Linked DNA regions of Arabidopsis thaliana. The protein of the gene in region 2 interacts with the protein of the main gene of each other region in a biochemical or structural test. Each region holds a gene or a part of one and is shown on either strand. Other genes may lie near its edges. The genes, in order: AT1G51820, AT4G39270, PSY1R and AT1G05700.

Region 1 (7,956 bases), on a different chromosome or scaffold from region 2:
TAGATCCCGTAGATCTGCAGAACCAGCAATAGTGACGAAGAATAAACGGTTTACTTACTCTGAAGTTATGCAAATGACAAATAACTTCCAAAGAGTGCTTGGGAAAGGAGGGTTTGGAATTGTTTATCATGGTTTGGTGAATGGTACTGAACAAGTAGCTATTAAGATACTCTCCCATTCTTCATCTCAAGGATATAAACAATTCAAAGCTGAGGTAAATTCACACTTTCATCATTATCTAATTGAAACAAAAGCATCAATGATTCAAATATTTTGAAGGATATATATCTATAACTTCTGATTTCTGGCTGGGTATTTAGGTAGAACTTCTTCTTAGAGTTCATCACAAGAATTTGGTAGGCCTTGTTGGATACTGTGACGAAGGAGAGAACTTGGCTCTTATATATGAATACATGGCCAATGGAGATTTAAAAGAACACATGTCAGGTAAGACAATAATGACTAACTGTATTTTATCAGTTCTATAGTGCGAATATAAGACTTTAGCATTTATCTCAAAGTGTTCTTTTTAAACACAGGAACACGAAACCACTTCATTTTAAATTGGGGAACTAGACTAAAAATAGTCGTTGAATCTGCCCAAGGTTTGTTTCGTTCTTTTCTTTTTTCATATACTTGAAGTTTTCAATATTGTAAAAAACTAATGTTTGTGACATAGGACTTGAGTATTTGCACAATGGATGCAAACCACTAATGGTGCATAGAGACATCAAAACAACAAATATATTGTTGAATGAACAATTTGATGCCAAACTTGCTGATTTTGGGCTCTCGAGATCATTCCCGATTGAAGGTGAAACTCATGTTTCAACAGCTGTTGCTGGAACTCCTGGATATCTCGATCCCGAGTAAGTATTACCTCTTAATTAAGGGATTTTAGTTTTTCCTTCAATTACAAAGCAACCCACATAAAATTTGTTTTCTATATTATTTTCCAGATACTACAGAACAAATTGGTTGACTGAAAAGAGTGATGTTTATAGTTTCGGAGTCGTATTGTTAGAGATCATCACAAACCAACCCGTGATAGACCCAAGACGTGAAAAGCCACATATAGCAGAATGGGTTGGGGAAGTGCTTACAAAAGGAGACATAAAAAATATAATGGATCCAAGTCTAAATGGAGATTATGATTCCACTTCTGTTTGGAAAGCTGTTGAGCTAGCGATGTGTTGTCTTAATCCTTCATCAGCTAGAAGACCGAACATGTCTCAAGTTGTTATTGAATTAAACGAGTGTTTGACATCTGAAAATTCAAGGGGAGGAGCGATTCGAGACATGGACTCAGAAGGTTCTATAGAAGTAAGCTTGACCTTTGGTACCGAAGTGACCCCATTGGCTCGGTAGTTTACATGAAGAATTCAGCTTCTTTTTGAATTTTTGAATGGTTTCTTCTAAACACCATGTGAGAATAAGTCATCCACATATAACCATACAATGTTTTTCTAAGTTTTCTTACTCTCAAAATTTTGTGTTCAGCTTGAGGTTAATCGAGGTATCCTAGTGGTTAATCGAAGTATACTTCTTCAGTGATTTTTTCAATTAAAACTAATAATTTTACATAGTTAATGCAAACTCCTTTTCAATCCGAACGGTATCATGTTTTGAGATTGCCGTTTTTTTTTTTTCCATTTTCGTCCGTCTTGCTCTTGTAAATGAGTAAATCCATTTTTGGCTCCCACTTTTTCCTTTTCTTATGGTTTTTCGGGTGAACACGCATAATTTTAATTGATCATCCTGACTTATTCATCCATAGCAAGTATCCACATTCTTCTTCCATATCATAAGGAATTTTTTCAACCAAAAATCCAACAAATTATACATATAAAATCATTGGAGATTGAATTGAGATGCAAAAACACTATATATTTTTATTTTTTTTGTTCAAAGCAAAAACACTATATATGATGTATAAATTCGAAAGAATTCGAGTTTCACATATACAAGCCTTTTGACCAAAAACACACACTACAAGCTGGATGATGGTTGACTTCTGACGGTGGAGATTCAATTACGAAAACGCCATATCCATCTAGAACGAAAGACACAGAAAGACAGATCAAACAATGACGTGCCATATAAAAGTCAAATTCAACAAATCTGTAAGATTATTAACTAGAACTTAGAAGGTTATGGTTTAATGCACGTTTCCTTTCTAGATATTATTCCTAGTTTTTCGACGTCGACAACATCAAAATAAAGCGTGTTATTTTGCGTTGACGGTTTAGTGGTCTAAAATTAGTAAAGTACATGAGAGTGTTTTCGACCTCTTGTCATGGTTGACCAAAAAACTAAAGAGTTTGTCATTTTCTCACAACTTGTTCTATCGAAATCGAATTATTTTCCATCCTGAAAAAAAAGGTCTCAATTATCTATTTATGTAGCTGACTTGAGACTTTTAAAAGTGGCTCATAAAAATCATATATCCTTATATGCATAGCTTGATATCTAAAGAAAAGGCTCTTTCTTTTGGACAGTAAGAAGAATAATGGAGAGACATTTTGTGTTTATTGCCACCTATTTGCTGATATTTCATCTTGTTCAAGCTCAAAATCAAACAGGTATGCACAAATTTGTTGTTTTAATCTATATAAGTGTTGTTCAACCTTCAACGGTTTCTTAGATGAAACGTTTATATTTTTTCATCTATTGTCTTATTAGGATTCATTAGTGTGGATTGTGGTTTATCCCTTCTTGAGTCTCCTTACGATGCACCACAAACGGGTTTAACATATACATCAGATGCCGATTTAGTAGCTAGTGGCAAAACCGGTAGACTCGCCAAAGAATTTGAACCACTCGTTGATAAGCCGACTTTGACACTGAGATACTTTCCAGAGGGAGTACGAAACTGCTACAATCTAAATGTCACCAGCGACACCAACTATTTAATCAAGGCCACATTTGTATATGGGAATTACGATGGTCTTAATGTTGGGCCAAACTTCAACCTTTATCTCGGTCCGAATTTGTGGACAACGGTGAGTAGCAATGACACTATAGAGGAAATAATCCTTGTGACCAGATCCAACTCTTTACAGGTGTGTCTTGTTAAGACGGGAATAAGTATACCTTTTATAAATATGTTGGAGCTACGACCGATGAAGAAAAATATGTACGTTACTCAAAGCGGTTCACTGAAGTATTTATTCAGAGGGTATATTAGCAATTCAAGTACTCGTATAAGGTAAGCTCCCATGAAAATTTCATGTTATATAAGCATATGTCTCGATTAGTTGTTTTCATACATTTATTATCTAAAATTTATTTTTGCAGTTTTTGTATTGAAATTTTTCGTTTAGCAAAAACTGCAAAAATATGCATCGGATGCATTTATTGCAAAAATAATTGTTTTTTTTCTTAAAAATTCTTTCAACCAAAGATGCATTTTTTGTATTTTAGGGGGTGTTATTGGTTGATTGATTTCTAAATTTATATAGAATTTGAAAATTTCTATTAATTATGAAATCAAGATATATGGATTTTGAAATAATATGTGTTTACCCATATATTTGAATCTTTCTATTTTTCTCTTTCAAATCCATTCAATTCTATTTAAAACATAATTTGGATTCTCAAATCCAAAAACAAATGACTAAACGAATAACAAAGAATTTTAACTAGTATTTATAAATCATCGAATCAATAACACATGATTTTAATTAGAATTTTAAAATCAATATTGAATAACAAATGATTTTTGTTTGGATTTCCAATTCCTTATAAATCTATAAACCAATAACCCCTCCTTAGTTATTTTGGTGAATAGAATTTTACATTCATACAAAAATAGCAACAAAAAAAAAAAAAAAAATGTGCAACATTATATTATTTTGTGTTGACAATTACTATATATTTTCTTAAATTATTTAAAATAAATTATACTTCTTGACAAAATAATATTAAAACAATATTTCACATGTCAATAACTGGTGCGTTTGAAACCATAGAAAGCCATATGTCAGATTAGTTATGTCATATACATACATGATTGTGCAGGTTCCCGGATGATGTCTATGACCGTAAATGGTACCCGCTCTTCGACGACTCATGGACACAAGTAACTACAAATCTCAAAGTGAACACAAGTATTACTTATGAACTACCACAAAGTGTAATGGCAAAAGCCGCAACGCCAATTAAGGCTAACGACACCTTGAACATTACATGGACGGTAGAGCCCCCTACTACACAGTTTTACTCTTACGTACACATTGCAGAGATTCAGGCTCTAAGGGCAAACGAGACAAGGGAGTTCAATGTGACACTGAATGGAGAATATACTTTTGGACCTTTTAGTCCTATACCGCTAAAAACCGCATCCATAGTCGACTTAAGCCCAGGGCAATGCGATGGAGGGAGATGCATTTTGCAGGTTGTGAAGACGCTGAAATCTACGCTTCCTCCTTTACTTAATGCTATCGAAGCTTTCACCGTGATTGATTTCCCGCAAATGGAGACAAATGAAAATGATGGTAGGTCGATATTTAGATTCTTTATCTTATCTACAAATCTTAACGTTTTATGTTTTGATTTTTGACATCATCAAACTTTACAGTTGCTGGGATCAAGAATGTTCAAGGTACTTATGGATTGAGTAGAATTAGTTGGCAAGGAGATCCATGTGTCCCCAAACAGTTATTGTGGGATGGTCTAAACTGCAAAAACTCGGATATTTCTACGCCACCGATAATCACTTCCTTGTAAGATAATACAATTTTTATTAATTTCTAATCATGTCAATTTCAAACTGTTATCTCACACTTTTTTTTTTTTGTCTCTAGAGACTTATCTTCAAGTGGATTAACTGGGATCATCACGCAAGCCATTAAGAATCTTACTCACCTGCAAATATTGTAAGTATATTTGTGGCTAACCAAACATCAACTTTTTTTTTTTTTTTTTTTCGTCACCAAACATCAACTCTCTTTGCCTTATAATATGAATCATATTTGATGGGCTCGTTCTTCTTTGTGCAGGGACTTGTCAGATAATAATTTGACTGGAGAAGTACCTGAGTTTTTAGCTGACATAAAATCACTCTTGGTCATGTGAGTTTATATTGGGACACTGCAAATTGTTTTTTTTTTTTACTTGGTTAACTTTTGGTTAAAATATTTTTGACTCTTTTTGATCCCAACAGAAACTTAAGTGGTAATAATCTAAGTGGCTCAGTTCCTCCCTCACTTCTTCAGAAGAAAGGAATGAAGTTAAAGTAAACTAACTTTTTCTTTCTTTTGAATGTTATCATGGCGATTGATGCAATCGGGTATCTTTAATACTTACATTTTGCAGTGTCGAAGGCAATCCTCATATTCTTTGCACAACGGGTTCTTGTGTCAAGAAAAAAGAGGATGGACATAAGAAAAAGAGTGTCATAGTGCCAGTTGTTGCATCAATTGCTTCAATAGCTGTTCTTATAGGTGCATTGGTTCTGTTTCTAATTCTTAGAAAGAAAAGGTCACCAAAAGTTGAAGGTATATTATCAATAAGCTCAAACTTCATTCCTTTGTTAACATCACATACATAAATATCAAATTTAAGTACCAAGTCTTACTACATTTTTCGCTTGAAACCTTAGGGCCACCACCATCTTATATGCAAGCATCAGATGGTAGATTGCCTAGATCATCTGAACCGGCAATCGTAACGAAAAATAGAAGGTTTTCTTATTCACAAGTTGTGATAATGACAAATAACTTCCAAAGAATCCTTGGGAAAGGAGGGTTTGGAATGGTTTATCATGGTTTCGTGAACGGTACAGAGCAAGTAGCTGTTAAGATACTCTCCCATTCATCGTCTCAAGGATATAAACAATTCAAAGCTGAGGTAAACTCTCACATTTATCACTTTCTCAGAGAAACACGTCAATGACTCAACTATTTCTAAACCTTGAACATGTGAGTTATGGTTTGGTGTTTAGGTAGAACTTCTTCTTAGAGTTCATCACAAGAACTTGGTTGGTCTTGTTGGGTACTGCGACGAAGGAGATAACTTGGCTCTTATCTATGAATACATGGCCAATGGAGATCTAAAAGAACATATGTCAGGTAGAAAACAAAAGTGTGTTTTTTGTTTGTTGTTGTCTTGAGGTAAAACATAAGACTTTGACAATAATATGTTCTTTGAATAAACAGGAACACGTAACCGCTTTATTTTGAATTGGGGAACTAGACTAAAAATAGTCATCGAGTCTGCACAAGGTTTGTTTAGAGATTGCCCCCTTGTATTTTTCAATTTTTGTTTTTTTGTATTAATTAAAATTATTGTTGTGGCCTAGGACTCGAGTACTTGCATAATGGTTGCAAACCACCAATGGTACATAGGGACGTCAAAACTACAAATATATTGTTGAACGAACACTTTGAGGCCAAACTTGCGGATTTTGGGCTTTCGAGATCATTCCTGATCGAAGGTGAAACTCATGTATCAACAGTTGTTGCTGGAACTCCTGGATATCTCGATCCTGAGTAAGTATTACTGCTTAAGAAATACTTTTTTTCTTTAGTAATAAAGAAACTTGACAAAAAAAAAGTTATAATATTTTGTTTTCCAGATACCATAGAACAAATTGGTTGACAGAAAAGAGTGATGTTTATAGTTTTGGGATTCTATTGTTGGAGATTATCACAAACCGACATGTGATCGACCAAAGCCGTGAAAAGCCACACATAGGAGAATGGGTAGGAGTAATGCTTACAAAAGGAGACATCCAAAGCATTATGGATCCAAGTCTCAATGAAGATTATGATTCCGGTTCTGTTTGGAAAGCTGTTGAACTAGCAATGAGTTGTCTAAATCATTCTTCAGCGAGAAGACCGACCATGTCCCAAGTTGTTATTGAATTGAACGAGTGTCTGGCTTCTGAAAATGCAAGGGGAGGAGCAAGTCGGGACATGGAATCAAAGAGTTCTATAGAAGTGAGCTTGACGTTTGGTACTGAAGTGAGCCCAAACGCTCGATAGTTTGCATCTTATATAATAAGAGAAGGTTTTTTCAAACTTTGCCTACCAATGCGACATTTGGCACTTTACTTTGATGACACGTGTATTTATCATTAATTGTAGTTTGACTAAAATAATTTATTAATAGATATATCATATATTTAGAAAAATAGTCATAAACTATAAAATTACTACATATTAAACTACAATTTGAAATGATTTTTTTTTTACCATAATTGCAACTCTCTTAACTAATTACAAAATCAAATCTTTTAAATTTTGACATGATATTATGTTTTAGACTGCACATTAATAGTTAACAACTATAAATAGTTCTCCAATTTTATAAGAGTTTTTTTTCCGTTTTTAGTTCTTTTAAACAATAATTAATTAAAATATTTTCTCTAATATAAATAGCAAATATTTACACAGATACAACACACACATATTCACAAGTGCGTTTGTTTCCTTTGACAATTGAAGTTACTCAATTACTGAAAGAAAAATGGAAGATGGCTTGCTGTATCACCAACATTTACGGTATCACCAATGTTTACGGCAAGAGTCATAACCTTATCAATTTGTCTCTTTCATTTAAGGTTTGGACTCATATTAGCTTTCAGTTTTTTTTTCTTTTTCTTTTGTTTTTTGAGAATGATTTCAGTTTCTAAAATGGTTATATTGAGTCTTACTTACATGTTTTTGTTTTGTTCTAAATGTAAATCGAGAACTTTTTTTTTCTTTTTTTTTTTTGTAGTAGGCATCAAATGCACTTCAAACCATAAATGTATATGAAAGAAGAGGCAAAACGGGCAAGAGTCTCAACCTTATCATTTTGTCTCCTTCATTTAAGGTTTGGACTCATAATAGCTTTCAGATTTCGTTTTTTTTTGTAAGTTTTTGTAAATGATTTCACATTGTTTAAAGTTTCTAAAATGGTTATATTGAGTCTTACTTATATATCTTTGTTCGTTTTTTTTTTGGTAGGCAT
Region 2 (7,264 bases):
GAAAATCTCGAATCTGGTTAAAAGGAAACGTTATAAATTTAGTAAACAACACGCGAATTAACATTTCGTTCCAGACAAAGAAGACTTAAACGAAACTGTTTCATCAAAAAAGTAAACCAAACGAACGATAACCAAACCAGAAGTGGTGACACAAAACCAAATCTAAACCAAAAACAGAGCAGCAGCACGCAAACAACTCTATCTTTGATTACCAGCCGCCACCACCGCCTCCGTAACTTCCACCATCACCGCCTCCGTAGCCACCTCCCTCACGGCGTCCACCACCACCGTATCCTCGGCCACCACCGCCTCCACCAGATCCGTAACCTCCGCTACGTCTCTCGTAACCACCACCGCCTCCTCCTGAGTATCCGCCGCCACCGCCTCCTGAGTATCCACCACCGCCTCCGCTGCGGTAACCACCACCGCTTCCACCACGGCCTCCTCCGCCACCGCCGCTACCTCTCGACTGAGCCTCGTTCACGGTGATGACACGTCCATCGAGCTCTTTACCGTTCATCTCTTCAATCGCATCCCTCATGGCTTTCTCGTCCTTGAAGGTGACGAATCCGAATCCCCTTGATCTTCCACTCTCGCGGTCGTTAATGATCTGTAAACAAACAAAATCATACACATCAGCAAAAACAATCGTGGAAGGAATATAAAACAAAGCGATGAATATAAAGCAAAAATCGATCGATCTCCGAGCTCATAGAAGCAGGAAGATGAACGTACCGATGGGACAAATTAAGTAACAGTAACAAAGAACGAGAGAGAACATAGTAACAGTAATCGAATCAAGTAACAGAGAAACAGATCGGAATCAGATCCGTCGAGGATCAGAATCATCGGAATCGGCTCGATCCGGGAGACCGATCTCTCGTGTAACAGACCTTAGAATCGATAACGTCGCCGAACTGTGAGAACGTCCTTTGAAGATCTTCATCATTGGTGGCCCAGGCAAGGCCGCCGACAAAGCACCGGTACTCAACTTCAGACATTTTTTTTTGGGGAAAAGAAGAGAAATTAGGGTTTCAAAATGTAAGAGAGAGACTTATGTGATTTGAGGTGATAAGACGCAGCCTTAATTTATAGAACAGGTGTGACGTAATAACTAGGGTTAAACATGTTTTCTAGGGTTTGCTGAAAGATTTGTTTCAACTTACTCTGATTAAGATGTGTGGTTAATTGGGTTAGTGGTTAGGCCCACATCATGTGAGCATTTTCGATAACTAATGATTTTTTCTCCTCGTTTCGAGCAAAAAATATCTTTGTAAGAATATCTTTTATTCCTTAAATGACAATTTTGTCCTTCGTCTCGTCGTCATTATGTCATACAATAGTTGGGTCTGAGTTTCGTTTATTGGGCCTATCTAATTTAATTGGAAAGATTATAACTTCCGGCCCAATGAATCTGACGGCGAAATTAGTAAAACAATAAAATGAAATAATATGCAAAGACTATGACGATAATGTGCTATGGATTTACATATTTGTTTTGTCATTAATTATGACATGCAATAAATTCATATGAAAAGATTCTTATCGCAATAGCATCGTGGACATGTTACAGTCTGTAATATCCAAACTTTAGCATAGACGTTTTTTGTTGTACAAATATTTTGGTATGTTAAGTGATATTCAAATGAAAGCTAGATGTGCAGATATGTGAACATATAAATCTTTCAATGGAATTCAATTTTCAATCATTGAATATTTGGATACACTCGCTCTGTACTTGAAATATTTTGACTGTCTGAATATTATTTTTTTACAGGATTAATTATTTTGTATACCAAAATTAGACGGATGAAGAATGAAGATGTAGTAGTTATACAAAGTCAATTACAAATGGTTCAGTATCTTGATTTCGATTTTTGTGCTGAAAATGCTGACTAAAGCGTGTAGAAGAGCTTTTTCAACAAGAAATAACCTGGCTAAGATTTTTTTAAGAAATCTGATTATTAATATATCGCAGGTAATATGAAAAAGTATCGTCGACTTTTTATAAGAGTGACAACTAAATCATTTTGCTCATAATAAAGCCACAATTATTATTAGTATATTTTGGTCGTTTTAATACGAGGAAAAATAATTGTCATACAAAATTTACAGAAATGGAGTAGCATCGTAGCTCCTAGGAATTCAATTATTTATTTGCAAAACTACTAAAATGGTGGTTATCATATTAAACGTCAGCAGAAACTTTAAGTATTTTTGAAATGATATTAATTTAAGAGTTCGTTAAGCTGTCTTGGGCGGGATCGTTGAGAGTCAAACTCCTCAAACGACGCCGTATTCAGAACTTCACTTTCAATTACTGTATCTGCGTCTCGGTCACGAGATCGAACCATAAATCTTGGGAACGTGCACGTATACAACGAAAGATCCACCTTCTCTCACTTTTTTTATTTTCTTATACTTTCTTCTCTTTTCTTCGAACGGCCGCTGTTCTTGACCAGTCTGAAGCTTTCTCTGTCCAGAACAGTTCTGTAAGAAGAAGTTTTTATCAAATATTATATAAAAATATCTGTTTCGTATTATATCAGACTTTCCATCTTTCTCTCTCTAAATCTAGGACAAAAAAAAACATGGAAGAGTTAGAGAGAGAGAGAGGCAGCAGAAAATGATTGGTAAACAACAATGAATCGTTTTTGATTCTGAAGTGCACAGAGAAAAGTAATTGCCAGAGAAAGTCGCAGAGGTAACAGAGTGAAGAACCTTTTTTAGTATATATCTTTGTTGAATAATCACAAAAAGAAAGTTTCCTTTATTGATCGGATTCGAAGGAAACCCAAAAAAAAAAGAGATTTGATTATTTCCATAAATCGCGAAGCTTTTTTCCAATTGAATCTTAGGCAATGAATGGCTTTAAGTTTTTCGAAGTACTAGTCGTCACCAGGGTTTAGAGAAACCATGGTGGTTCTGAGGAAGACATCCTTGTTGGTCTTCTTCTTATTCCTCCTCTTGTTGTTAGAGTCAACGTTTGAGCAACAGACAAGTTCTCTGAATGAGAAATCGGCGCTTCTGCTGTTAAGGTCTTCTCTTGGGTTACGAAGCAGAGATTGGCCTGTAAAAGGCAATCCTTGTCTGAACTGGAACGGCATCAAATGTGATCAGAATGGTAGAGTAACTAAGATCAACATTTCAGGGTTCAGAAGGACAAGGATTGGGAATCAAAACCCGGAATTCTCAGTTGGTTCTCTCGTCAATCTCACCCGTCTAGCTTCCTTCAACGCCTCAAGGTTCTATCTTCCAGGTCCAATCCCGGCTTTGTTTGGATCGAGTCTGTTGACTTTAGAGGTGTTGGACCTTAGCTCCTGTTCAATCACAGGAACCATCCCTGAAAGTTTGACTCGGTTATCACATCTCAAAGTTCTTGATCTTTCAAAGAATGCGATCAATGGGGATATTCCTCTGTCTCTTACCTCTCTTCAGAATCTATCAATCCTTGATCTTTCCTCAAACTCGGTGTTTGGTTCGATTCCTGCTAATATTGGGGCACTCTCAAAGCTCCAGCGTCTGAATCTTTCGCGTAACACCTTGACTTCTTCAATACCTCCATCACTCGGAGACCTCTCTGTTTTAATTGACCTTGATCTCAGCTTCAACGGAATGTCAGGTTCGGTTCCATCAGATTTGAAAGGGCTAAGGAACTTGCAGACATTGGTAATTGCGGGAAATCGCCTTTCAGGATCCCTACCTCCTGATCTGTTTAGTTTGCTGAGTAAACTTCAGATCATTGACTTCAGAGGCAGTGGTTTCATAGGCGCTTTACCGTCCAGGTTATGGTCGTTACCGGAGCTCAAGTTTCTAGATATTTCTGGAAATCACTTCTCTGACATGCTGCCTAATACCACTGTCAGTTTTGATTCTACTGTCTCCATGCTTAACATATCCGGGAACATGTTTTACGGCAATCTCACACTTTTACTGACAAGGTTCCAAGTTGTTGACCTGTCAGAAAACTATTTTGAAGGTAAAATTCCTGACTTTGTGCCAACCAGAGCTTCATTGAGCAACAATTGTCTTCAGGGCCCAGAGAAGCAGCGGAAGTTGTCGGATTGCACTTTGTTTTATTCAAAAAAGGGCTTAACTTTCAACAATTTCGGACAACATGAAGAGAAGAAGAGTTCTAAAACTTCCTGGTTAAGCCACACGAAAATAGTTATACTTGCTGCAGTTGGAGGGTCTATATTGCTTATGCTCATTCTCATAGTGTTACCAATAACAGTGAGTTTCTGTGTCCGTCGAAGAAACAGATCATCAACAAGTAATCATCCTAGAGGAAGACACAACGGTGTTGGCCCATTACCTCCTGATGAAACACTTCCCTCAAGAGGAGGAGTCTCTATAAACTTTGGGAGTCTTGGATCATCATTTACCTATCAGCAGTTGCTCAATGCCACCAAGGAGTTCAGTGATTCAAACCTGATCAAGAAAGGACAATCTGGGGATCTTTTCAAGGGAGTTCTAGAAAACGGAGTTCAGATCGTTGTGAAAAGAATCAGCTTGGAATCTACAAAGAACAACGAAGCTTATCTAACCGAGTTGGATTTCTTCAGCCGGTTTGCGCATCCGAGAATAATCCCATTCGTAGGGAAGAGCTTAGAGAGCGCAACTCATAAGTTCTTGGTATACAAGTACATGCTGAATAGGGATTTACCAAGCTCATTGTTCTATAAATCCAATTCCCTAGTTGACAACGGATTGAGATCTCTCGATTGGATCACCAGACTGAAAATAGCATTGGGAGTAGCAGAGGGACTTGCTTACCTGCACCATGATTGCTCACCATCCGTCGTCCACAGGTATGAAAAACCATTCCTTTTACTCTTTTTTTACTTTCAAGCCACCATTAGTTCATTACTGATCTTGAGTCTTCCAATGTTCAATAAGGGATATTCAAGCAAGTAGCATTCTCTTGGATGATAAGTTTGAAGTTAGGCTTGGAAGCTTTAGCAAAGCTTGTCATCAAGAAAACAATGGCCGTCCACGGAAAATAGCCCGATTGCTCAGACTATCCCAGTAAGTGCCTCTGATTCATCATATAACCAATTTTGATTTAAACATCTAACAAACAAGCTTGCTACTGTTTCCCTCTTCAGGTCTTCTCAAGAAAGTGTTCCTGGTGAGTTTATCTTCAAATGCATAAAACAAGCTTGCTAATTTCTTAACTATTCTAACAATCCCTAAAATTCCCAGGGTCTGCAGCTACAGCAACATGTGCCTACGATGTGTACTGCTTCGGCAAGATACTTCTGGAGCTTATCACAGGGAAACTCGGAATCAGCTCATGTAAAGAAACCCAATTCAAAAAAATCCTAACCGAGATCATGCCTTACATTTCATCGCAAGAGAAAGAACCCGTAATGAACATTCTAGACCAATCTCTTCTGGTCGACGAAGACCTCTTAGAAGAAGTCTGGGCAATGGCAATCGTCGCTAGATCTTGTCTTAACCCAAAACCAACGAGACGGCCGCTTATGAGACACATAGTACAAGCCTTGGAGAATCCACTGAGAGTTGTGAGAGAAGACAGCAGCGAATCTGAGAGATTCCGTACGACTGGATCTTCGAGAGGATCTTCGAGTAGCGGTCGAATATTTGGTAGTTGGAGACAGAGCGTGTCTGATCCTGTCGCAGCGGGAACAAGTAGCCTTCTGTCTCAGGCGGAGGGTTTAGCGACTGGATCGTCAGCGAGAGGAAGTAGCCGTGGCGCGTCGAGTCGACGGAGTATGAAAGATGTATAGAAAGAAAGACACACACACACACGATCAATATTTATTTTTTGACGTCAATTTTTAATTATTTTTTATGTGTGGTTATGATTTGATCTCTTGTTGATAAAAAATTCCCGTTAATTTATAATATTTTTCGATGATCAAACCAGACCAGTCTTTTGAGTTTTGATATTCTCGGGTAGCAAACTAGCAATTCGTTTTGTATGGGGTGGGAATCGAAATGTTTTATACTTTGGGGCAATTATATAAAAAACGAAAAGTTTCTGTAATGATGTGTGAATGAGGCTAATAAATGGGCTGCTGTTATCTAACCACGTTGCATCTTTGCACTTAATGGGCCTCTTGGCCCAGTTACTTATTTATTTGATCTAAGTTCTTATTCCTTACATCGTAAATACCACCTCACAAACTTTATACCATACAAAACCAAATGCTAAGTGAAAATTAAATTTGACAAGCCAGATTGCAATTAAGAGTATACACATGTTTAAGATGGAATTGTCAAGTCCAATAACCAAAGGTAGAATTGTAAATACCAAGAGATAATCAAATAAAGTATCTTGAATCAAAAAGATAAATCAAAATATCACTCATATTCCAACTCGGCAGATCGGATTCCGTTTAATAAGATCGAGATCCACCTGCGACAAAATAATGACACATGGATTGAATATATATATTTCCAATAGAACAAAGAAATGTTTACACAAAGTTTTCTTGATAAGTGAAGATTTTGTGCATACCTTGTATATACAAAGAAAGACCGTATGTTTTTTCTAGCCTCTCGTCGAAAGCAATATTGAAAATCTCCTAGAGTGAATCCGAGTACTTGATGTTGTATACCTGAACAACCCACGATCTAAGATGAACACTCAATACATAAATTTTACCTTGTATTATACCCACGGCCGAAGATAGTTTGTGGGCTTCTAGAACCGTCGAACGGAGATGGTTTCTCACATAGTTGGGATAATAAATGGCTTGGAATGTGTTCCACAATTGATTGCATCGATAGTTGAGCCGTTACTCACATATGTTGTTTGAAGTCAGAAAGTGGGACCACCGGTCACAGTACATACATATTTTCAGAGTCACCAAATTTCTTTTCTAACGAAAACCACTAAAACCAGCAATTCCGTAAAGCAACAAAAAATACGTCTTTCTTAACATTTAATTCCGATCGGACTTGATATAAAATTTGAAAAATCTATTTTCGTTGGACGGAGGGAATATTACCTAATTATTATATGTACTGCATCTTAATTATTATTATTATTATTATATATATAGCTTTGTTACATAATCTGTGTTATCTAGATTCAATAATTACAAAAACCAAAACATCACGTAACACCAAATTAATTGAGAAAAAAAATATAAATATAGAAAAAAATAAAAAAAATATATTTAAAAAAATCTCAAGTAAATCATATAAAGCAAAAACAATTACGCCAATGTCGTCGTGCACAATGATGAGTTCACCGCAAATATCCAGCAGTTACAACGTTGTTAATGTTTAA
Region 3 (7,087 bases), on a different chromosome or scaffold from region 2:
TAGATTTAGGGTCGTCAGAAAATAGAATACATTTAACATATGCTTATTCACACCTGTAGAACAAAAAATAGTGTTTATGTTATTATCACTTGACTGTTATTTTCTGTTGATTATTTAAAAATTTCAACTAGTTGTTCTTAAAATATTTGCAAATGGTACGAAAAATCTAAATAGCTGTATCTGGGAGCAGGAAAAATTAAAATAGCTGTATACAGTTTATAAAAGGACAAGTAATATATTACAAAATATAGAAAAATGCCAAACACAAAATATACATTAAATCAGGATCATGATACATGTTATCTTTCAGTTGAATTGTATATATAAAAAATGGAATATCCTAATCCAAGTCGTCCAATTGCCAAATTTTATCCCCAAAAAAAAAAAAAAAGTCGCCCATTTTATTTGTTTTTACAAAATCATTTTCTCAATTTAAAAAGAAGAAGAAATTGTCAGACGAAAAAAAAACAAATTAGGACGAGTTCTTTTCAAGATAGATAAACAGATATGCCGATGTGCTGTGTTTTGAAATGGATTCATATTAGAAAATAGCAAAATAATAATTAAGAAGTTAATAACTTATAAGTAAAATAAATAAATGAATACAATATTTATTGGCTTTTCCTTATTCTATTCTAGGCCAGAAAACGACAAGCTTTATTAAACCTGGATTTTGAGGTACATGAATCTCTATAAGTATAAGAAATATATTAGGTGGAAAATAAAATTATTAGAGATTCTATAAATTTGATTGAACATAATAAAAATTCAGTGGAAAAACATTAAAATAGATGTGATCGTCTTTTATCGAAAAGCTAATAATATATTATCGTTGTATAAAGTCACAAGAGTTTATTTTACGGTTTATTCTCAACAATCTGAGCCTCAGAATTCTAAATTTCCTTCTTTATTTTAGATGATAGAGAGATAAATAAAGCATACATAAAGGAGGTCCAACACAACTCCAAAAGATTGTTCGGTATTATTTAATGTCAAATCTTTATATTCGATTCCACTAAAGAGATAACTATTCTTACCATGTCTTCGTAAGCTCTATCATGTTAAATAATATTTAGATAGAAAAACAAATTCACACCATCATTACTTACTGCTCCTAAACACTAGTTAAAGTATTAAACGCATTAATCATGATAGATTCTATTTAATTGGACTTCGAAGAACTCTCTTTTTAAAACATCACTCCAAATAACTGTTTTTGATCGTCAATAATTCACAAAAACACAATTTCGGTTTTAAAATTAAGTAACTTCTTATGACTTATTCTAATCGTATGAAAGTGATAAATATAATATCACACAAAATCTATACTAATGTTTTTTTTTGGGTTATAGCCATTTAATAAGTACAATTTCTGAAAAGTCTAAGACAGTTAATTTAATACGGTATTGTTTAAAGTAACTTGTTAGCTATCATATACGCCATTTGCTCATTATAAATTACGAAAAGAAACACACACATGAACAGCTTGAAGGATTTTTATAACCCTAAGAAATCAAAAAGTCAAACAAAATAAATAGTATCCTTTACAAAAAAAAAATAGTTATCATATGATCTTCTTTATCTACTTTTCGTTCTTTATGACCACTATCTAATGTTAAATGTGGCTTCCACTTGGCATAATTAAACATAAAAAGATCCTCCATAAGGCAAAAAAGTAAAGAAAGAAATGGACAAAAATAAATAAAGATGAATTACATATTCTACAATTTTAGAGGATATAGAAAAAAGTTGTGTAACACCACCACCACTACGAGCCACTACTACTAAACCAGCCGCCCCAAAAGGTAAACGCCTCTACCACAAAAAATAATCATCATAATACTATTCTTCAACTTCTTCTTTTTTATTTATTTATTTTGATTTCATATCATAATGTTTGTACCCATCATTATTATTTTATGATCAAATTCAATTTCATGATCAACATCATAGCACGCACGCATGCACCTCCCACCTCCAAAGATTGAAATGACCCAATTTCAAAATAAATCACATAAAACGTTTTTTAATCTTTCTTAATCATGAATAAATGACAGAACAAAACCAGACAAATGAAATAAGTAAAACATTTTTCATTGGTTCATATAAGTAAGGATATATAGGGCTGACTTTAATAATTACCAGAGCTATTCAGAGAGTTGTACTTGAGCTTTTATTACAAAAAGGAATAATAATTTATATATATATATATATATATATATATATATATAACTTTTTAATCAAAAAAAAACTTTACATAAAAACAGCATACCCACAACCACAATCAGGGCAGAAAGATAACATGATAAAATAAAATAAAATTTAAAAGTGAACTTTGGGTGTGACAAGAAGTTTTCTTCTGTTTGGTCTGACTATTCCCTTTGGTCAACGATGGTATTGAGAGCCATTTACAAGCTTCGGACAGAGAAACCCAGATTGGATAATCATGTCTTTTGTTTCTTCTTTTCCCTCTCCTTCTTCTTCTTCTTTTTCAAGCTTTCTTAATCTTTCTCAGCTTCTTCTTCTTCTTCTTTTGTTCTCGCCATGATTGACGAGAAGATGAGATCTAAATCCATTGGTCCTTTTGTGAGACAAGTAAAACCTTTGAGTCCTCACATGGTTCTCTTTGTCCTTCTCTACGTTCTTTCCATTTCTGTCTTCTTTCTTACAGTTTCAGAGGCTGTTTGTAATCTTCAGGATCGAGATTCTCTCCTTTGGTTCTCTGGCAACGTATCATCTCCAGTCTCTCCTTTGCATTGGAATTCGTCCATTGATTGTTGCTCCTGGGAAGGAATCTCTTGTGATAAGTCTCCTGAAAATCGTGTTACTTCGATTATTTTGTCCTCTAGAGGACTCTCTGGCAATCTTCCGTCGTCTGTTTTGGATCTCCAGCGTCTCTCTCGTCTCGACCTTTCTCATAACCGTCTCTCTGGTCCACTCCCACCTGGTTTCCTCTCTGCCCTTGATCAGCTCTTGGTTCTTGATCTTAGTTACAACAGTTTCAAAGGTGAATTGCCACTTCAACAATCATTTGGCAATGGAAGCAACGGAATCTTCCCAATTCAGACCGTTGATCTCTCCAGCAATCTTCTTGAGGGAGAAATTCTCAGTAGTTCTGTTTTTCTTCAGGGTGCTTTCAATTTAACCAGTTTCAATGTCAGCAACAACAGCTTCACGGGTTCTATCCCTTCCTTCATGTGCACAGCTTCGCCGCAGCTCACCAAACTGGATTTCTCCTACAATGATTTCAGCGGTGATCTCTCTCAAGAATTAAGCAGATGCTCGAGGCTAAGTGTTCTTCGAGCAGGCTTCAACAATCTCTCTGGTGAAATCCCCAAAGAAATCTACAATCTTCCTGAGCTCGAGCAACTCTTTTTACCAGTCAACCGTCTTTCTGGCAAAATTGATAATGGGATTACTCGTCTCACCAAACTGACATTGCTTGAGCTTTACTCTAATCACATCGAAGGAGAAATACCCAAGGATATAGGTAAGCTTTCGAAACTGAGTAGCCTCCAACTCCATGTCAATAACCTCATGGGTTCTATCCCGGTTTCTCTCGCCAATTGCACAAAACTCGTGAAGTTGAATTTACGGGTTAATCAGCTGGGAGGAACTTTATCGGCGATAGACTTTTCCCGGTTTCAGAGCCTCAGCATTCTGGACCTCGGAAACAATAGCTTCACCGGCGAATTTCCCTCCACGGTTTACTCATGCAAAATGATGACAGCAATGAGGTTTGCAGGCAACAAGTTAACGGGACAGATATCTCCTCAAGTACTGGAATTGGAATCCCTGTCGTTCTTTACTTTTTCAGACAATAAAATGACGAACCTTACAGGGGCTCTCAGCATTCTACAAGGCTGCAAGAAGCTTTCTACTCTCATTATGGCAAAGAATTTTTACGACGAAACGGTACCAAGCAACAAAGACTTTCTTCGGTCAGATGGATTTCCAAGCCTCCAAATTTTTGGTATCGGTGCGTGCAGATTGACAGGTGAAATACCAGCTTGGCTGATCAAGCTCCAGAGGGTAGAAGTTATGGACCTGTCCATGAACCGATTCGTGGGGACAATTCCTGGTTGGCTAGGAACTCTTCCAGACCTTTTCTACTTGGATCTTTCCGATAACTTTCTAACAGGAGAGCTTCCAAAGGAACTGTTTCAGCTGAGAGCTCTGATGTCGCAAAAGGCATACGATGCAACAGAGCGGAACTATCTGGAGCTGCCGGTTTTTGTCAATCCCAATAATGTCACCACTAATCAGCAATACAATCAGCTTTCCAGCCTCCCACCTACGATATACATCAAGAGGAACAACTTGACTGGGACTATACCAGTCGAGGTTGGGCAGCTAAAGGTTCTCCATATCCTGGAGCTTCTAGGTAATAATTTTTCTGGCAGCATCCCAGATGAATTGTCAAACCTCACTAACTTAGAGAGGCTGGACCTGTCCAACAACAATCTCTCCGGTAGAATTCCATGGTCACTCACTGGACTCCATTTCCTGTCATATTTCAATGTTGCAAACAACACTCTCAGTGGGCCGATACCCACAGGGACCCAGTTTGATACCTTCCCAAAAGCAAATTTTGAAGGAAACCCCTTGCTGTGCGGTGGTGTACTGCTAACCTCCTGCGATCCAACTCAGCACTCTACTACAAAGATGGGTAAAGGAAAGGTCAACAGAACGCTTGTTTTGGGGCTTGTCCTTGGGCTTTTTTTTGGCGTCAGTTTGATTTTGGTGCTGCTAGCTCTGTTGGTGCTTTCTAAAAGGAGAGTAAATCCAGGAGACTCTGAGAATGCTGAACTGGAGATAAATTCCAATGGCTCGTATTCTGAAGTCCCTCCAGGGTCGGATAAAGACATAAGTCTTGTACTGTTGTTTGGAAACAGTAGATATGAAGTAAAAGACCTGACCATATTTGAGCTCTTGAAAGCTACCGACAACTTCAGTCAAGCTAATATAATTGGCTGCGGCGGGTTTGGCCTTGTCTATAAGGCTACCTTGGATAATGGAACGAAACTGGCGGTTAAGAAACTCACAGGAGACTATGGTATGATGGAAAAGGAATTCAAGGCAGAGGTAGAAGTTCTGTCCAGGGCGAAACATGAGAACCTGGTCGCTCTACAAGGTTATTGCGTCCATGATAGTGCCCGGATACTAATTTACTCGTTCATGGAGAATGGTAGTCTGGATTATTGGCTGCACGAAAATCCTGAGGGTCCAGCTCAGCTGGATTGGCCAAAAAGACTCAACATTATGAGAGGAGCAAGTAGTGGACTAGCATACATGCACCAGATATGTGAACCACACATAGTACACCGAGACATCAAGTCCAGCAACATCCTTTTGGATGGAAATTTCAAGGCATATGTAGCAGATTTCGGGTTGTCAAGATTGATCCTTCCATATCGCACCCATGTAACAACTGAGCTAGTGGGCACATTGGGTTACATTCCCCCAGAGTATGGACAAGCTTGGGTAGCCACTTTGAGAGGTGACGTGTACAGTTTTGGTGTAGTCATGCTCGAGCTTCTCACAGGGAAAAGACCAATGGAGGTTTTCAGGCCAAAGATGTCAAGAGAATTGGTCGCATGGGTGCATACTATGAAAAGAGATGGGAAACCAGAGGAAGTGTTTGATACATTGCTGAGAGAAAGTGGAAATGAAGAAGCGATGCTTCGTGTGCTTGACATAGCCTGCATGTGTGTGAACCAAAATCCAATGAAAAGACCAAACATTCAACAAGTTGTAGACTGGCTAAAGAATATAGAAGCGGAGAAAAACCAAAATAACAGAGAAGAACCTGAAGAAGAAGAAGAGACGTAACTGTGTGTGTGCCTTCCTTCCCTACATTCATCATTGTGACCAGATTCAAATATCTGCATAAGTAAATATACACATATTTTTCTTGTCAATTGCATATGTTAACCATCATTTCCATGTAAATTATAATTTTGATGGTAATAGAAGCTTTGATGATGTAAAGAACAGGAATTTATGCAGCTCGTGACATTCAAACGATTTCTATATACATGTAGCTCTCTAGCTATGTAAAACCCTTTGGCTTTAACATGATCAAAAGCAGATTTTTATAAAAGGATTTGATTAGAAATCTGGAATGTATCGTATGATCAAACCAACTTTGGCTTCCATGAAATTTCTCCGTTCTTAAGAGGTCTAAGAAAACAAAAAAATCTGTGATGCTAACAGAATAACTCAAGTGGGGTCTGTAAGCGGCATTTAATCGAACATTTGGTGTGCATAGTTACCAAAGAGACATTGAGTGAAAAGAAAGAGTCGTATGACGCGCGAAAGAAGACAAAGCATGAGAATCTGAGAAACTGAGACATACCTAAACATCAATGGAAGATTCAGAGACAGAGAGAGAGAGAGAAAAAAAGAGAGAGGTTTTTGTGAAACGAAAGCTTTTGATTTAGACTTTTAAAACTTATTGGATAATATATGTCTTGCTAAACGTCGTCGTTTTGAGTGTTTTTGGGAAAATAAGCTATATAGAGTAACGCCAAAAAAAGAAACCCTATCGTGATCAAAAGAATAGTGTTACGTTTCTTTGTTGATAAAACCTTGAGATACTCCTCAAATATCTTAATCTCTCAATTAAGCAAGAGACATACACGTTTATTTATCCGGTTTGATTAGTCGATGTCACGAGATCCACGTCCGGAGCTAGATTCTGTCCAGCAAGTTATACTATGAATGATCAATGTTTTCTCAAGCTCAAGATCTTTACAAGAGGAGAGAAAATTTTCGGATACAAAGTAGAATGAAGAAGAAAACTATTTCATGCCTTAAACAGATTCAACAGCAATGCCTATGAATGATTCTCAACATCTATGTATCTGGATCTGGCCACATTTTTCTTTCTTATTAATTGAAATTTGAAAATAACTCATTATTTTAGGCCATGGACGAGTCTCAGGCTTAATATTACAATAATTTTTACCAGTTGATTAGTAGAACGGGAACATCCTTAGACCTAAATTATCAACCCGGGAAGTATAAGTTGCTAGTAGCCGTAGTAGCATCATCAACCTTTTTGAATTTGACGAGTAAGGTCTTA
Region 4 (7,124 bases), on a different chromosome or scaffold from region 2:
CATAATTTGACAGCTATTATACAACCCATTGAGAGAGTGAGAGGTCTTCGTAGTTAATATCAGTCCCAGGTAGAAGTTGCTTTTATTATTATTATTATAGATAGATAGAGAGAACTATTTTTTCATTTATTGATGATAGTGACATTGTAAGGTTATTTTATTTTGTCAACATATTTGACCAGCTCTCTGCACCATCAGTCTTTTTGTTTCTACTTTCCACTTTTTGCTTTTTTCGTCTTTGAATTTTTGTTCTCTTCTCTTTAAAATCAACCAAAATTTCAACTAGAGAGGTTAAAAACATGGGCTGTATATAAAATCCATCAATCTAATCAAATCAGTGATTGAAAGTGATGTATTATTTTCATAAATTAACACCTACAATAATGAGATTCTCTAGCGTCTACCATTAATAATGAGATTTTAATTAGATTGAACGAGTTCATTTCATTAGTATATCCGTTGTTTAACTACAAGAGAATAAATGAAGTGTTATGAAAATGATAATTTACTACTGTAAATTTTTATGTTTCAAGTAAGACAAATTTAATTTTTCTGACGTCAATGCAACTTCATAGAGAGACTCAGGCGTTGAGGAGACGCGCACGCGTGGTTTCGGACACCAAACTCGCTCTAAAAGTCACTCACGTGGAGCGGTTAGAAGAGTCACGTTTCGAAACGCAGACGCAGAGGTAGAGATTGCGTGTGTAAAAAATAGAGATTTGTGGGGACAGCGGCACAGACCGTGCGACGCAAAAGTCCGAAAGGAATCAGCGTTTTATTTAAAAGGTACGTTTGGGGTCCTACGCGGCTTCGGTCTTTGTCTTGTTGTCACCATCTTCTTGTCCTCTTTTTTCCTTGTGGCTACCGGATTAGGTACTTTTTCTTTGTTTTTTCCTATTTATTATGGATTCTTTTCTATTCCATTACATTATTACTTTGGGCTTTTAGATATAGCATTAGCAACACAAACTTTAAAAAGCCTTTCAAAAATTTAAATATATAAACACTCCCAAGTTTTCAACATCTTTCTGTTTCCAACCCCTTGACTTATTCTACACCCTTTGCGTTGTGACATCAATAGTTCTTGTTACTCTCTTCTCTTTGAAGACACTCATTCAATCCTCTAACAATATGTGGCATGTTTGGCCTATCAGAGACGTTCTGCGAAACAGAGGATAATGCAAGCTCCACAACTTTCCATACAGAGTTTACATCAAAATCTTTCGCCATCTTTGAATCTATAACATTGTTCACATCATTCGTAGACCTCAAGATCGATATCACCCAATCACTCACATGAACACGTTTCGTTTGTGACTCTTTGATCACGGTTTTGCCTGTAATCATCTCCAACAGAACAACTCCAAAGCTGTAAATGTCACTCTTCTCGTTTAGCCCATTTGTCTCAAAGCATCTGCAAAACGGAGCATACAATCACTAAAAAAAGATTCCATGTTTGGCAAATATGGCAGACATAAGAGAGAAAACTGACAGCGGATCGAGATATCCGGGAGTTCCAGCGACTAGGGTGGATACGTGAGAACGACTCTCTGTATGAAAACTCCGTGAGAGTCCGAAATCTGCAAGCTTTGCTCTGTTTTTCTCGTTCAACAATATGTTTGAAGTCTTCACATCTCTGTGGACTATTGGAGGTTTGCATCCACAGTGAAGATACTCAAGCCCTTCATAGATTTTTCGTTAAAGATTTAAACTTTTGGATTAATTAATAACCTAGTATATAAAAGATCGACACTTTGTTTCATCATACCTTGTGCTGCATCAAGTGCAATCTGAAGCCTTTGTCTCCAGCTCAATGTGTGCTGATACTTTCCCGCGAGATGATCCGCCATGTTGCCGTTAGCCATGAACTCATAGATCAATCCCATTTGGTCACCTTCATGGAAATAACCGATCAGCGCAGTGAGGTTAACATGATGAACCCTCACAAGAACTTCGACCTACATGTATTTAGGTGGTTATGATTTGTATATCTTTTTGGAATCATTTGTCATATCTGAAGTTCTACTACAATACCTCAGAGCGAAACTCTTTGAATCCTTGAGCTGATGTTTCTGATAAAAGTTTAACAGCTACTTGAAGGTTGTCATAGAAGCCATGGTAGACTGTTCCAAACCCTCCTTTGCCGAGGACTTGACCGAAGTTATTTGTCATCTTTATAACGTCTGCAAAGGTAAACAGTAATTTGTTCTCCGATTTCGCCATTGGACTGGTTTGAGGTGCGGAGTTTACTTTGCAAAAGAAAGTTTTAACAATTGGTAATGTGATTAACAGATAGATATGAATGTAAAAGGAAAGATATAGAGATAGATTTGTAATTGTACCGGACTTGTTTCTCCGGTTTCTGATTCTCCAAAACACACCAGACAATAACAAGAGGATGAACAATGCTGCAAATGATGCGACAAGCGGGATAACGAGTTTTTTGCTGTTGCTTTTTCTGCAAGAAATCTCAGTACAGAGTCCTGGATTTTCTCCTAGCCTTAGCGAGAATGATCCGGTGTTTGATCTTTCTAATAACTCGGATGGAACTGAACCGGTAAGAGTGTTATTTTCTAGATTTCTGCAGATGTTGTTAAGAGTTAAGAGTCCATAATTATCGATCTCATTTGTTAAGATATGTCCAGAACTTACAAAACCCTCAAGAACTTCAGTTTTGAGAGGAACTCCGGAATGTCTCCGGTTAAGCCATTGTTTGATAAGTCTCTGATAATAGAGTTGTCTTGTTCAAGTCAGAAAAAACTCTTTAACAAAATACAAAATTATAGGTATCATCAGAATCTTGAATTAGGTAAACTCACAGCTCTTGAATCATTGTGAGGTTAGAGAAGGAGGAAGATATATGACCCGTTAACCCGCTTGATGATAAGTTCCTGCCTCCAATAGTGTAAATTTTTTTCCTACTCAATATAGAAAATCCACCGACTGATCAAGAAGCGATTAAAATTAGACTACACTTACAGTGATGTGATTCTTGGAGGAGTAAGACTATCATAACTGCAATTAAGGCCCTCCCAAATGTAGTCATTAGGCAAACAAGGATCTCCGTGCCAGTTCTTCTTCACTTTATAACTCGTCTTTAGACTCGTAACCGCGTCACCTGTAAGTTTCAATTGAATGCATTGATCAAACTGAGAAAAAAGATTGAACTTTGCTAGTCATGTTATACTAGCACAGACCATCCTCTTGGTTAGTGAGAGACTGCGAGAAACTATTTGCGACGTAGATCTCTAGAGCGTTAACAATTGGCGGAAGAGTGGACTTTGGGGTTCGAACGAGTGAAAACGCAATTTTCGATTGGCTCTCAGGGTTTAGAAAAAACGTGTTTGTCTGAAGATACTTGGGGCTGAATCCAGCAGCAACTGTCACTCCGTTAATGCTGATGTCGAACTCTCTTGTCTGGTTCGGTTTGAGACTAAGATCTTCAACCTCTGCGAAGTGCATGTAGACAAAGTACCTGACATTTGGATCACTGTTTTCCAAAGTCATTGTGATGGGTCTTGTTGTGTTTATTGGAGTCATCGCTGTGCTCATCACCAAACTTGAAAGACTATAACTATTATTGTCTGAGGTCACGGGGAGTGAGGTATTGATCTCTCTACAATAGCCAAAGTTGCGAGGTATCCAGATTCTGTCGTACACATCATCATCATATCTGATCCACAAAAAAGCTTCAGATTTCAAGTTTCAACTGGTAAAAAGTAAACTTTGAGCTAACGAAACAGAGCATCAAACAGAGTATGAAACAGAGCACGAAACAGAGCAAGAAACAGAGCTTTACCTAACAGGTGAACCCATGAGAGAGCGTAAGTCCCAGCGTCTAGAGAAGAAGAGAGCACCGTTTGGAGAATCATATGTCGTATTGTCGTTCCCGAGAAACCTAAGCTCTAAAGTCGAGATAAATGGAGTTCCTTTGCCTTTGTTTCCCAAACACACAAATATGTTCTCAGATTGGCTCAAGTAAACGACTTCTTTGGAAACAATGCTCGACCCATTGCTGAGCAAGACGGTATCCCAAATATTGCCACCAAGAAACAGATCAAACTCCGGTGAACCATTTTCTCCATCGTAGTTACCGTACATGAAACTAGCTCTTATGAGATATTTCTTGCCCTTCCCTTGTATTGGAATCAATGTATAGCAGTTTCTTGAACCTTCGGGAAAGCTCCTCAGGTTTTGAAGCTGTCTTTGAGCTGTGAAAGGGATCGATTTGGAGACTCCGGTTTCGACAAAGGATGAATCTGAGACGTAGTTTATACCTGTTGTGTCGTCTTTGTACGATGATCCACTTGGAATTCCACAATCGATGCTTATGAAACCTGTGATCACGCAACGAGTTAAAGTTATGAAAAGAATAAAGGATTAGACTTTCTTCACTAGAAAATAGTTTGAAAGATAAATGAATCAGTTAAGAAAACCTGATTGGTCTTGAGCAAGAACAGAAACGACGAGACACAATGCAAATGCTGCTGAATATATCAAATAGAGAAAACGAAACTCTTCCATTTTCGTCTGGTTTCTTGAAAAACAAGGAAAAAGAAGACAACTAAAAATGGGGTTGAGATTTTTGATGTGATGAAGTTTGAAGTTTTCATTTAAAGACACAAAAATAATTATTCTGACGTAAAGTCTGAAGACCAAACATAAACAAATTGGAAGTTAAAAGTGATTTAAATTAGCTACTTGCTCTTGGTGACATTGCAAAGTCAAATCACCATCAAAAGTCAACGAGAGACCCGCCGTATATATCAATTATTATCCTTACAAAAAGAAGTATAACACTCAAGAAGGTTGATTTTCATTTTTCATGAACTAGGATATATATATTTTCACTAGATAACTCAACTTGAAATATGTTAAGTCATGACAATCATGATATAAATAACATTAATGTATATCTTTTTTGTCTGCCTCTAAATAAAGTCGTTTAGGACCAATATTATTGATTTGAATTTCTAACATAAAATGAGTGATGATGCAAAAACTTCTTCACATTACTGTCACGAATCACGACTCGGCATGTATATAACAACCAACTTGATATAGACAATGTTTGTTCAAAACCACTATTGTGCGCCGTATTGGTGCGCAATATACACTATACCCTGCGCCTATGTACGTTTTCTTTTTGTGTCTAACTGGCTATACACTAAAATCTAAAACCTGTTTCTATATCAAACCAGAAGAACGTGACGAGAAGGGCCCGAGACTGTTCCTCGCCCTAATAATGTTTTCTACAAGCAATCGCCATTTAGATTGTTCTTTCTTGCTAAGCTTCTTCATTTTCTCCTTGAAATTCCTACAAGGTTAAGAAAACGATTACCATCTGTATCTTAAGGTTGTTGGCGTTGTCTGAAATGTGCGATATAACTTACCAGCAGAGAGAAACTTTGCAAGAATTAGAATCATCACAGATACAAGAGTGAAGCTGAAGAAGCTGCCACATCCTTTTGCAATGAGAACATGAAGCCCTAGACTTGCATCCCAAGAAATGTCTGAGCGCACCTTCAAGCCCTTTACACGCCGGGAATTTACACACGGTATGGCTTCCTTTAAGGGCCTTATCGCGAGGTCCAATTGTCCCACAACCTTCACGACATATGTGGACAAGAGCTTCCATGGCTTCATAGAGCTGCAAATACACTTCTCTCTCCTCCAGTTTTCTTCTTCTTTCTTGTTTCCTACTGTCGGATTCGATGACTGCCTCAATGAGCTCTTGTTCGAGCAAAGGATTAGAGCGTTTCATCACTTTCCATCCCTCTGTTGAAGATACAGATTTGAAGTCTTTGATGACCATGGAAAGACATACAAAGCAAATCCTTGTCACGTCACAGTTTCTCGCTAGTTGAAGCACATCGATCACATTCTCCTTGTTAATCCATCCTTGATCGAGAATCTCTACACAAAGTCTTTTAAGAGATGGGACCGAGTAGCAATGTGACAGAACCAATAAATGGAGCACAAACTTCTTCATTTCTTCCTCCTCGTAGCTGTAGGTTTTAATATCAGGCATGGTTCAAAGGAGAAACAAGCATTACGAAAGCATTTGTAACACATAGAACATACCAGGAAGAGTATAGAAACCTAATGAACATGTAGACTGCTTCACAAGGAACTCCATGGATTTTGAGGTATGTATTCCCATTCTTATCCCTCGATTGATTCAGAAGTGTCGCTATAACTGGTGAGGCTGCAGCCTGCAGAAGACAAAAACCTTGTAATATTGATCAGTAAGCCCGGAAAATGAGCTCAATTACCAGTTAATAAAACTCACCAGGACACTTGAATGGGCAGGAAAGTGAGACTTGTTATCGGTTTCAACATATGTATCTGCTCCAGATCCTTCCTTGAAAAGCTTATCCCAAGTTTCAAGTGCTTCTTTAGGCACAAGGCGCATTAAGCTCGAAGGTTTCCTTGTACTAGATTGAAAACGCTGGTAGGTAATACAAGGAAGAGGAGGAGGTTTTGGAATGTTCTTGGTACTACTAGACATCGTTGCTGGTGAAGTTAGGTTGAAGCAGAGTCAAGACATCATGATCAGGAGCATAGAAAGACTCTTCTTCTTCTACTCCCGTATCGAACACTTGCGAGAATGTATGATCTGAAGAAGCTATGGAATCAAACCCGCGAATTGAAAATAGGTTACGTGTTCTTTAATCTGTTAAGATCAAATGCAAGAAGCAAACATAAGTTATATATCAGAGTTAATAGTCAATCTCAGGTTTCTCCTAGTAAATTTACAGTAACCAAGATTCAAGTTCCCTAATCTGATGCAACCTCAGAATTTAAGAATCAAATGTCCATAAACTCAAAATAGTCCTACTTAAGCAAATCATTGACACAAAGTTAGCAACTTTTGATTTAAAAATATCGAACAGTGACACGAACAAGACTAAATTAAAGAAGCTTCATTAGACATGAACATCAGTGACAGTGAGAATCCAGAGGTAGAGATACAGTCATAAAGAGATTATCAAGAACAGGAACAAAAACATCCAATACGGAAGATTCTGAGTCATTAAAAGAAAGAAATCAAATTCAGAGAATAAGAATTATTAGGCAAGAACAAAAAAAGAAAATAAAGGAAGGGTCTTGATCATTCTTAC

The links.
Region 1: the proteins of AT4G39270 (region 2) and AT1G51820 form a complex in vitro, tested with the Arabidopsis thaliana proteins (one large-scale study listed by BioGRID).
Region 3: the proteins of AT4G39270 (region 2) and PSY1R form a complex in vitro, tested with the Arabidopsis thaliana proteins (one large-scale study listed by BioGRID).
Region 4: the proteins of AT4G39270 (region 2) and AT1G05700 form a complex in vitro, tested with the Arabidopsis thaliana proteins (one large-scale study listed by BioGRID).

Annotation. Positions count from the first base shown.
Region 1 is NC_003070.9:19,236,437-19,244,392, reverse strand, and holds AT1G51820 (Leucine-rich repeat protein kinase family protein), read left to right. Parts: upstream 1-2,427; 5' UTR 2,428-2,509; coding exon 2,510-2,582; intron 2,583-2,682; coding exon 2,683-3,208; intron 3,209-4,020; coding exon 4,021-4,496; intron 4,497-4,579; coding exon 4,580-4,724; intron 4,725-4,805; coding exon 4,806-4,877; intron 4,878-5,000; coding exon 5,001-5,072; intron 5,073-5,164; coding exon 5,165-5,236; intron 5,237-5,316; coding exon 5,317-5,498; intron 5,499-5,602; coding exon 5,603-5,850; intron 5,851-5,944; coding exon 5,945-6,071; intron 6,072-6,158; coding exon 6,159-6,224; intron 6,225-6,301; coding exon 6,302-6,491; intron 6,492-6,577; coding exon 6,578-6,986; 3' UTR 6,987-7,174; downstream 7,175-7,956. Other genes in the region: AT1G51830 (Leucine-rich repeat protein kinase family protein), read left to right, coding at 1-214, 321-447, 540-605, 680-869, 960-1,368; AT1G51823 (uncharacterized protein), read right to left, coding at 1,956-2,099.
Region 2 is NC_003075.7:18,273,958-18,281,221, forward strand, and holds AT4G39270 (Leucine-rich repeat protein kinase family protein), read left to right. Parts: upstream 1-2,353; 5' UTR 2,354-2,916; coding exon 2,917-4,811; coding exon of another isoform or gene 4,812-4,899; coding exon 4,900-5,028; coding exon of another isoform or gene 5,029-5,032; exon of another isoform or gene 5,033-5,108; coding exon 5,109-5,131; coding exon of another isoform or gene 5,132-5,169; exon of another isoform or gene 5,170-5,205; coding exon 5,206-5,753; 3' UTR 5,754-5,984; downstream 5,985-7,264. Other genes in the region: CCR1 (cold, circadian rhythm, and RNA binding 1), read right to left, coding at 209-610, 894-1,001; AT4G39280 (phenylalanyl-tRNA synthetase, putative / phenylalanine-tRNA ligase), read right to left, coding at 6,335-6,385.
Region 3 is NC_003070.9:27,216,424-27,223,510, reverse strand, and holds PSY1R (Leucine-rich receptor-like protein kinase family protein), read left to right. Parts: upstream 1-2,245; 5' UTR 2,246-2,544; coding exon 2,545-5,832; 3' UTR 5,833-6,143; downstream 6,144-7,087. Other genes in the region: AT1G72290 (Kunitz family trypsin and protease inhibitor protein), read right to left, coding at 7,012-7,087. UniProt on the Arabidopsis thaliana protein: Tyrosine-sulfated glycopeptide receptor with a serine/threonine-protein kinase activity. Regulates, in response to tyrosine-sulfated glycopeptide binding, a signaling cascade involved in cellular proliferation and plant growth. Not involved in PSK perception.
Region 4 is NC_003070.9:1,707,196-1,714,319, reverse strand, and holds AT1G05700 (Leucine-rich repeat transmembrane protein kinase protein), read right to left. Parts: upstream 4,588-7,124; 5' UTR 4,525-4,587; coding exon 4,437-4,524; intron 4,338-4,436; coding exon 3,800-4,337; intron 3,674-3,799; coding exon 3,198-3,673; intron 3,119-3,197; coding exon 2,980-3,118; intron 2,892-2,979; coding exon 2,820-2,891; intron 2,725-2,819; coding exon 2,653-2,724; intron 2,582-2,652; coding exon 2,035-2,581; intron 1,959-2,034; coding exon 1,769-1,958; intron 1,683-1,768; coding exon 1,493-1,682; intron 1,415-1,492; coding exon 1,075-1,414; 3' UTR 846-1,074; downstream 1-845. Other genes in the region: BT3 (BTB and TAZ domain protein 3), read right to left, coding at 5,188-5,317, 5,394-6,008, 6,085-6,215, 6,293-6,511.